Linked DNA regions of Rattus norvegicus. The protein of the gene in region 1 interacts with the protein of each later gene in a biochemical or structural test. Links are inferred from orthologs where the notes say so. Each region holds a gene or a part of one and is shown in the gene's direction. Other genes may lie near its edges.

Region 1 (4,253 bases):
GATTTGAACTCAGGACCTCTGGAAGAAGAGACAGTGCTTTTGACCTCTGAGCCATCTCTCCAGCCCGTTTTGTTTTTCTTTTCTTTTCTTCTTTTTTTTTTCCCCCGGAGCTGAGGACCTAACCCTTGTGTTTGCTAGGCAAGTGCTCTACCACTGAGCTAAATCCCCAACCCTTTGTTTTGTTTTTCAAAGACAGGGTTTCTTTGTGTAGCCCTGACTCTCCAATTCATATTGTAGACCAGGCTATCCTTGAACTCACAAAGATTCACCTACCTCTGCCTCCTGAGTGCTGAGGTTAAAGGCTTATGCCACCACACCTGGTTACCTTGTTTTTTTTTTTTTGTTTTTGTTTTTTTTTAATATATAACAATTTATTTATTTTATGTATAGAAGTACACTGTAGCTGTCTTCAGACACCAGAAGAGGGCATCAGATCTCATTACAGATGGTTGTGAGCCACCATGTGGTTGCTGGGAATTGAACTGAAGACCTCTGCAAGAGCAACCAGTGCTTTTAACCACTGAGCCATTCTCTCCAGCCCTGCCGTGAGTTTTAAGTTTCAAATCTGGGGGCTGGAGAGATGGTTCAGTGGTTAAGATCACTGGCTGCTCTTTCAAAGGACCTGGGTTTAGTTATCAGCTCCCACATGGCAGCTCACAGCTGTCTGAGATTCCAGTTCCAGGGGACCGAACACTCTCACATACATACACGCAGGCAAAACACCAATGCACATTAAAGATGTTCAATAGTAGAGTGAGGGAAGCCTGGGTAGGAGAACCACTAAGCCTTACTGTCAAGGTATATATATAGATAGAGAAGTTCAAAGTGCTCTAGAGGCAGAAGCAAGAGGGGCTTAGTTTCAGGCTTGCTTGAGATACACAGCCCAATGCTGGTTTTTCTTTTTAAACACCAGTAGTACCAGTTTAGTTTCCTAAAGAAACCTGTATCCACTAAGTGTTTTGGGTACCTTATACCACGCAAGCCTACGGGCGAGGCAGGAAGGGGGCGCTAATAAGTTTCTCCAGTCTTGTACAACGTAGGGATTCAAACTCAGATCTGAATACTTCTTAGCATCTTTGAGTCGCTAACTCCTAGTTCAGCTGCCCACCTGTACTTCTGGTTTCTATCACCTCTATGGGCTTCTGAACCTTACATGCAAATTAGCCGAGGTTTGTGTTTAAGCATATAGGATATCTCACACAGGTTTAACAAAATTCTTGTTCATGGAAATAAATCAAGAAAATATCTACGTATTGAAGATATCCTTTGGAAAAGCCACTGCGGGTTTCCTTAGTCTGCCCTAACCCTGAGAAAGGTAAACCTTTCCGTTGCTGAGGCGACAGACACAACTTGGCTGTTTGGTTCTCCCGCGCACCCGGATGACGTCAGGCGGCGAGATTCTCTTACGCCAAAACTTCCGGCCCACCATCTTTGTCCCTGGCAAATTGGGTTTTGCGCAGTGTCTTAGATCTAGAGAGAATCGTGACGGGCAGGAAACCATTACACCACCTTCCCGGCTGTGCTCTCTGACTGCCGCCGCCACCCCGCCCTTGCCTCCGGTGAGTTCAAGGCGGCTGGCTTTGGGGTGTGTCCCTGACTGGGGGTAGTTGTGAAGGAAGGGAACCCCAAGCCGGGTCGTAGGCGCAGGAGGAAAGGAGAAACGGGGAGCGTGACGGTTGAGGATGGAGGGAGTCCTCGGGTGTGACCGTTGTGAGGGAAAAGCTTGGAGAAAGTACCTCTTTCGTAGTGACCGTGGTGGGTTGGGGCTGAGCTCCGGTGTAGCAGCGATAGTTGGGGGCTTCAAAACGAAGCAAGGTTCGGAAGACCGGCTTGGGTAGGGCTCAGGCCAGGGGTGTGGCCGCTGGAGGCCCAGGGAGAACCACCTAGATTTCCCGTTTGGCATCTGTTCATTGAGAAAGAAGCTTGGACGTGTCCGTCCAGCACGCCTAGGGAGAAAGGATTCCCGCGACCGTTTGGTCACTGAAACCTCCGTTGTCACCCGTATTCGGAGGCATCTCTCCTTATCCTGGACAGTTTTCTTGACCGGGTCTTGACCTGCGGAGGGAAGTGGGTAAAGAGAATAGGGGACTAAATAATGTTCTTCGAGAAAGGAAGGAGAAACTTGCGTAATTGACCTCCTGTGTGAGAGGGGGAAGCCAGTGAAAGTAAATCTTAGCCTGGAATTGTTTTTCTTTTTTTAGCTCCCTTTATTCCCCGGGGTTATTAGGAGCAGTCTAGTTTGGGCAAGGCTGTAAAAGTCTACTAGAAGTGAAAAAACTGGAATTTCCTGCCATTTCTTTATTCTTTGAATTCTCAGGATGTATTAGTATTTTGAGCAGCCCTGTTTAGAGGAAGGCTCTTATTAAACTCAAGCAGTTTAGGTATGAAGCAGTATGAATCTGTCATGGATGCTTCGCTGAATTTTTTTTTTTTTTTATCATTTAGAAGGGAGATTATTTTTTTAAAATGGCCAAACTCTTTTGTGACCTTTGTGGTTTAAAAGACAAAGGACACACTATAAGCACAGCAAGGCAAGTTAACTGAAAAGAAGGTGGTCTCAGAGAGGAACAATCTAAATTATCACCTGCTTTCCTTGTGTAGTTCTACTGCTCAGCCTCAGGGTGCACTTACAAGGTATTAATAGAAAGCGGCAGGTGAAGTAGGTGCAGCCACCAGTAACACATTCCCGGGATGACTAAGTGAGGCGGGCGGACATGTAAAATGAGAGCAGAGTAGGTGTCTTGCAGGGGAGACTCCCTGAGAAATAAAGGGGAGTGTGCTCTGCAAAAAAGCTCCCTAAAGTTGAGTGGTAAATTAATACAAAGTAAACATTCTGAGAAAATAAGACTCAGAGAAGTCCCTCACATCCCCTTCCCCTGTAAAAGGTCATTGCTTTCCTCTTAAGGCACACATTTGAACCAAGTCAGACAGGGAGCATTCAGAGGACATCATCCCCATTTTTCTTCTTTCCTCCTAGGCTTAGGTTTCCCCAAATGTCTTGGAATTTCATAACAGTTGGGTGTAAAACTGTTGGGCTTCTTTCTTTACGCATAATACTATATTAATGAATTAACTTGTAGTTGTTTAAATAGAAGCCAGAGGTGGATTTAGCTTTTAAATGTTTTATTTCTGATAAGCTAATTAATCTGAAGCTGCTATTGTCCTGGTGTTATGAACATTTTAGCCAGAAATGGTCTTCATACCACTCATCCTTATAAGCAGAGGTTCCTGGAATGTCACTAATGCTTTGCAGTTTACTGAACTCTGGCTAGTTATTGACTTCATGTGCAAAGAAGGGCATAGTGGCCTTGCCAGTGCTAACGTTGGCTGCCATTTCCCAGACAACTACTTGAAATTAAGACCTTACTAATTTGTTTCTGACTGTATTCTACCCAGCCTGTTAATCTTGGTTTGCTGTTGAGTTGCTCTTTGGGGAAATTGGAGGAGGGGAAGGCTGGGAGGAGAGAAAGGACGTTGACAACCTATATTTGGCAGAAACTAGGTTATGTTAATCTAGATCTATACCCTTGTACTGTGAAAGGCAGTGAAGCAATACTGTGGGCTAGGACAAGTTCAAGGATTACTGCTTTGCCTGGTGGCTGCTCTGTCCTTTAACAATGTCCCTAGGCCACACCTTAAGTCAGTCAGTGACCTTTCAGGTTTCATGTTGTATAAGGTGGTGTAAGTTCAAATTCCATTGTGGCTTGCTTATTTCTAGGGATTTCCTGAAAAATTTTGCCCCAGTAGGATTTTGAATTTTGAAGCACTAGGCAAGTTGAAGTTGTATTTTTCCAGTTCTATTGTGGCTTTGTGTGTGTGTGTGGTTTCTACTGTGGGCACCAGTTTTACACCCTATACTGGAGAATTTGACTGAATATTTGGCAAGTGTTTGGGAGGGTCTTTATTAAAAAATAGTTATATGAATTGTGAGTTGAGAGTCACAGGGACATTAAGGTTCTGTCACTACCACTCTTTCTCATTTTAATTAAATACTTAAAATTCATACAAATATATAATGTGTTTAAGTCTAGGCTGCTCCCCCAGCCCCCCCAACCCTTTCTTTCTACAGTGCTTTTGTTTAGACTGTTTTCATTCTCCCTTATCCCCCACACCTCTGCCCCCGCCTTAAGGATAGACTGGATGCCTTGTTTTTCTGCCTGTATGATGGCAATTATTTCATCACAATTATTGACTATGGTGTCAGTTAAATGAGTGATATATTTACCTGCTTTTTTTTTTTCCTTTTTTTTTTT
Region 2 (3,647 bases), about 38 Mb from region 1:
ACACAGAGGTTCTCTGATGCACCAGCACCAAGTCGGAGCTGCTCAGAGCATTTATAGTTCTAAAGTGTGAAGATTTGGAGAATTAGAATTTTTTTTAATAAAATTACAGGATTCTTCCCATGCCTCACTCCATTCATTTGCATTCTTGGTACTAAAGGATGTGGTCCTTTCAGCTAACTGGGTCATGGGGCTCAGACCAGAGTTCTTTTAGGGAAACAGTGCTTAAGTGGTTAGTTAGTCAGTCAATTTCCTTCCCTCCTCCTCCTTTGGGTCCATGCGTCTGTCTGCCCTTCCTTCCTCTTTCACCTGTTACTGAGATGGTGATCTCATTGTGTTGTGCTGCACTGCATAGCTTTGGACTCTTGCTCTCAAATGATCACTGAGCTTCGCTCTGGTGTAGTTTACCGTCATGTCTTGCTAGCTTGCTCTGTGTGTGTGCTCACTCCTTCAGCCTTATTCCCCTCCCCTTCTCCCTTCTCTCTGCACCCCCAAACTCGCTTTCTTGCCTTTCTCTGTTGTTTGTTTGTTGGACGCACATCCACTTGTGCAGAGCCTGGGCTGCCCTAGAACTTGCACTCTCTGCCTCCATCTCCTGAACACAGGGGTTATAGGCATGGACCACAGCACATAGCCTTACTTTCTGTTTAAGATATTGTCATTGGCTTATATTTGTCTAAAAATGAAGAACCATTAAGATAAGAATAAAATAGTCATTGAACTCATTGGATGACTTTAGAAAACTGGAAAGATGTTCATTTGTCTTGTGTTTATAGAATGGCTTCTGTATCTACTCCTGTAGCAGTGTTCAAGGGCTTCAGATCTGTCCTGTCCATCAAGGCTGTGAAGTTACCTGAAGACAGGCTTTTGATTGGCATGGGCTGCACCATGTTGTGTTTGTGTGGCACTGTGGGAGATTCGTTTTCCCTTAAAAATAATTTTCTTAGGAGAAGGAAGGACACTGGAACCTTCCAGATTTAATATCCTCAGTTGTTTTTCTTCGTTGTTTACACAGATGAACGGTATGACCCTGAGCCCAAGTCCAAATGGGACGAAGAGTGGGATAAGAACAAGAGTGCGTTTCCATTCAGTGACAAGCTAGGGGAGCTGAGCGACAAGATCGGGAGCACAATCGACGACACCATCAGCAAGTTCCGGAGGAAAGACCGGGAGGACTCTCCGGAAAGGTGCAGGTACGCTGCCTCTCCACCGCCTCTCCACCACTTCTCCACCACCTCTCCACCGCCTCTCCACCGCCTCTCCACCACTTGCTTAAGGGCTTTGCTTTACGCAGCCGTTTGGTTTGGTTTGGTTTGGTTTAATTTTGATGTATTGCTGTTATCTAAAGCTTAGCCTTTTTTAAAAACACACTTTGTTAGAGAAATCTATATGACACAGAAAATTTGATCATAAAGTACAGAAGGCACTACATACCCTTTCTCTTTCTCATGGTTTCAAGATAATTGTGTTACATTTCTTTTTTCTTTTTTTTTCTTTTTCTTCTTCTTCTGCTTTTTCTTCTTTTTTCTTTTTTTCGGAGCTGGGGACCGAACCCAGGGCCTTGCGCTTGCTAGGCAAGCGCTCTACCACTGAGCTAAATCCCCAACCCCTGTGTTACATTTCTTAACTGAAAAACTAGTATTGATAAGCTGTAGTTACAGTGTACAGTTTAGGCTGGAGGTTACCATGTTGAACATGCAGTATTCTCCAGTAACAAATGTCGCCTCCCTGAAAATGCCCTCTATAAAAAGAAAAGTGGAGCCATTTATAAAGTTGCCAGTCACCTAGTTTTATGATACTAGGTCAGCCCTAAGTGCTAGTAATATTGACTCTTCCGAGCGGTCTGCACCTCCTGTCTGTCCCTAACCGTTCTTGTCCTCTACATTTTTCTTCAGGCATCTCAGTCTTGGCCTCGAGATTTTTACCCTCTCTAAAATTTATAATTGTCATCTTACATTTGGACATCAGACGGTTCCATGGTCTAAAATAAGGTGTGGGGGAAGGGGATAATGAAGCCTACGTTGGAGAGAAGGTTAAAGGCTAAAATTTAACTACCTGAGACTTAGTATTGCCGTCCTGTGCTCACGTGACCAGAGCAATCCTGCGCAGGGGTGCACCTGGAGTAGTGGTAGGCACCTGGAGTCGCACAGGCCTGTGTTTATAAGCTTCATCTTCTGATGTAGGACAGTTATAATAAGCTGACATCAAACAATAGAAGTAAAACCTGAGGCCCACTCAGTCTGCATGGACCTGTGGAAAATGAGTTTGTTGTTTGTTTGGGGTTTTTTGTGGTGCTGGTGCTGGTGCTGGTGCTGGTTTTTGTTTTTGTTTTTGTTTTTTTTTAACTAATTAGCATCTTTTTCCTACCCATACATTTATAATAGTTCAGATTACAGTTCATGGGAATGAAGTTCAAATAAAACTATAGCCAGATTTTAAAAAGGTTTCAAAATACCTGTGTTCAGTGTATTCAGTGTGGTTCCAGAGCCATTAAATCTCTAGAATGCCCTTTTTAAGACTTGTAAGGGCATAATCTTTGAAGGAACAGTAGTATCAGTAATAGGAACGTATCTGCTTTCTACCAGAGGCCTGCAGGTGTAACACTGCAGCCTGAGAGAGAGTGTCTAAGTACTCTCCTGTCTTCCCTTATTAATATTCTACACAGGCTCTTGTGTCCTATGTATAAGTTTTTGACCTGACTTGAAGTGGGGGATGAGGTGTAGGGTCTTAGTGATATAGCAGTGTGTGGTCCTACTCTATTTTACCTTCTTCTGATATCCTTAGGGGCTTCTTCTCCTCTTCCTTGAACTCTGCTTGCTTTTTTTTTTTTTTTTTTTTTTTTTTTGCCTTCCTTGTTTGCCTGGGTGATGCTGATGATGGCCAGTCTGAGGCAGGATGGGTAAGAGTTCTACCTCTTTGATCCGGAGAATTCAGATTAAAGATCCGGACTATATTCCAAATACCAGTTGGTGATGTGTGCATGTTGCATTTTCAAGTGTTGGTGAGAAAACAGCATGCTGTAGACAGAGTTACATGTGACTCAGGGCTTTGTGTGCAGCCTTCTTGCCAGCCTATAAGCTATGCTTTCTGACCCTTGATGTATCTAAGTCCCAAAGTGACTTGTATTAAGTTGAGATTGCTTTAGATTGGAGTCAGAGTTCATCAGTGATACTCATAGTTTAAGGGGAAAGTCAAGCATTTTACTTTAGGATATTCATAAATTAAACTGCCTATCCTACAACTAGGGAATATAAATAATGGAACATACTTCAGGTTCTTGTCCCTTGCTTGCGCGCTCTCTCTCTCTCTCTCTCTCTCTCTCTCTCTCTCTCTCACACACACACACACACACACACACACACACACACACATTGTCTTTTCTCTCCCACTCGCCTGCTCAATCCCAGACAAAAACTCAGTGACTTAACATTAGAGAATAGACTCCTTTCATTCCCAGCATGTGGAAATCCTGGATTCTTGCTTCCTAGAGGTTCGCTTTTATAGAGCTTTTGATTGGTTGACTTGAAATGTTAACATGAGTAAAATAATTGTTTCAGAAATATTTAAAATATAGTTAAGTTTCTACAGTTGACAGTTATGTAATGCTTGATGTAACAGTAGCAAAGTGCAGCACAATTGTAAAAACCAGT

Evidence for each region.
Region 2: the proteins of Ap2b1 (region 1) and Clint1 form a complex in vitro, tested with the Homo sapiens proteins (2 studies listed by BioGRID and IntAct, with this or other methods). The link is inferred for Rattus norvegicus from reciprocal best matches to the Homo sapiens genes AP2B1 and CLINT1.

What each region holds. Positions count from the first base shown.
Region 1 is NC_086028.1:68,599,281-68,603,533, forward strand, and holds the start of Ap2b1 (AP-2 complex subunit beta), read left to right. Parts: upstream 1-1,442; 5' UTR 1,443-1,559; intron 1,560-1,611; exon of another isoform or gene 1,612-1,755; intron 1,756-1,953; exon of another isoform or gene 1,954-2,067; intron 2,068-4,253. UniProt on the Homo sapiens protein: Component of the adaptor protein complex 2 (AP-2). Adaptor protein complexes function in protein transport via transport vesicles in different membrane traffic pathways.
Region 2 is NC_086028.1:30,834,435-30,838,081, forward strand, and holds part of Clint1 (clathrin interactor 1), read left to right. Parts: intron 1-1,012; coding exon 1,013-1,190; intron 1,191-3,647. UniProt on the Homo sapiens protein: Binds to membranes enriched in phosphatidylinositol 4,5-bisphosphate (PtdIns(4,5)P2). May have a role in transport via clathrin-coated vesicles from the trans-Golgi network to endosomes. Stimulates clathrin assembly.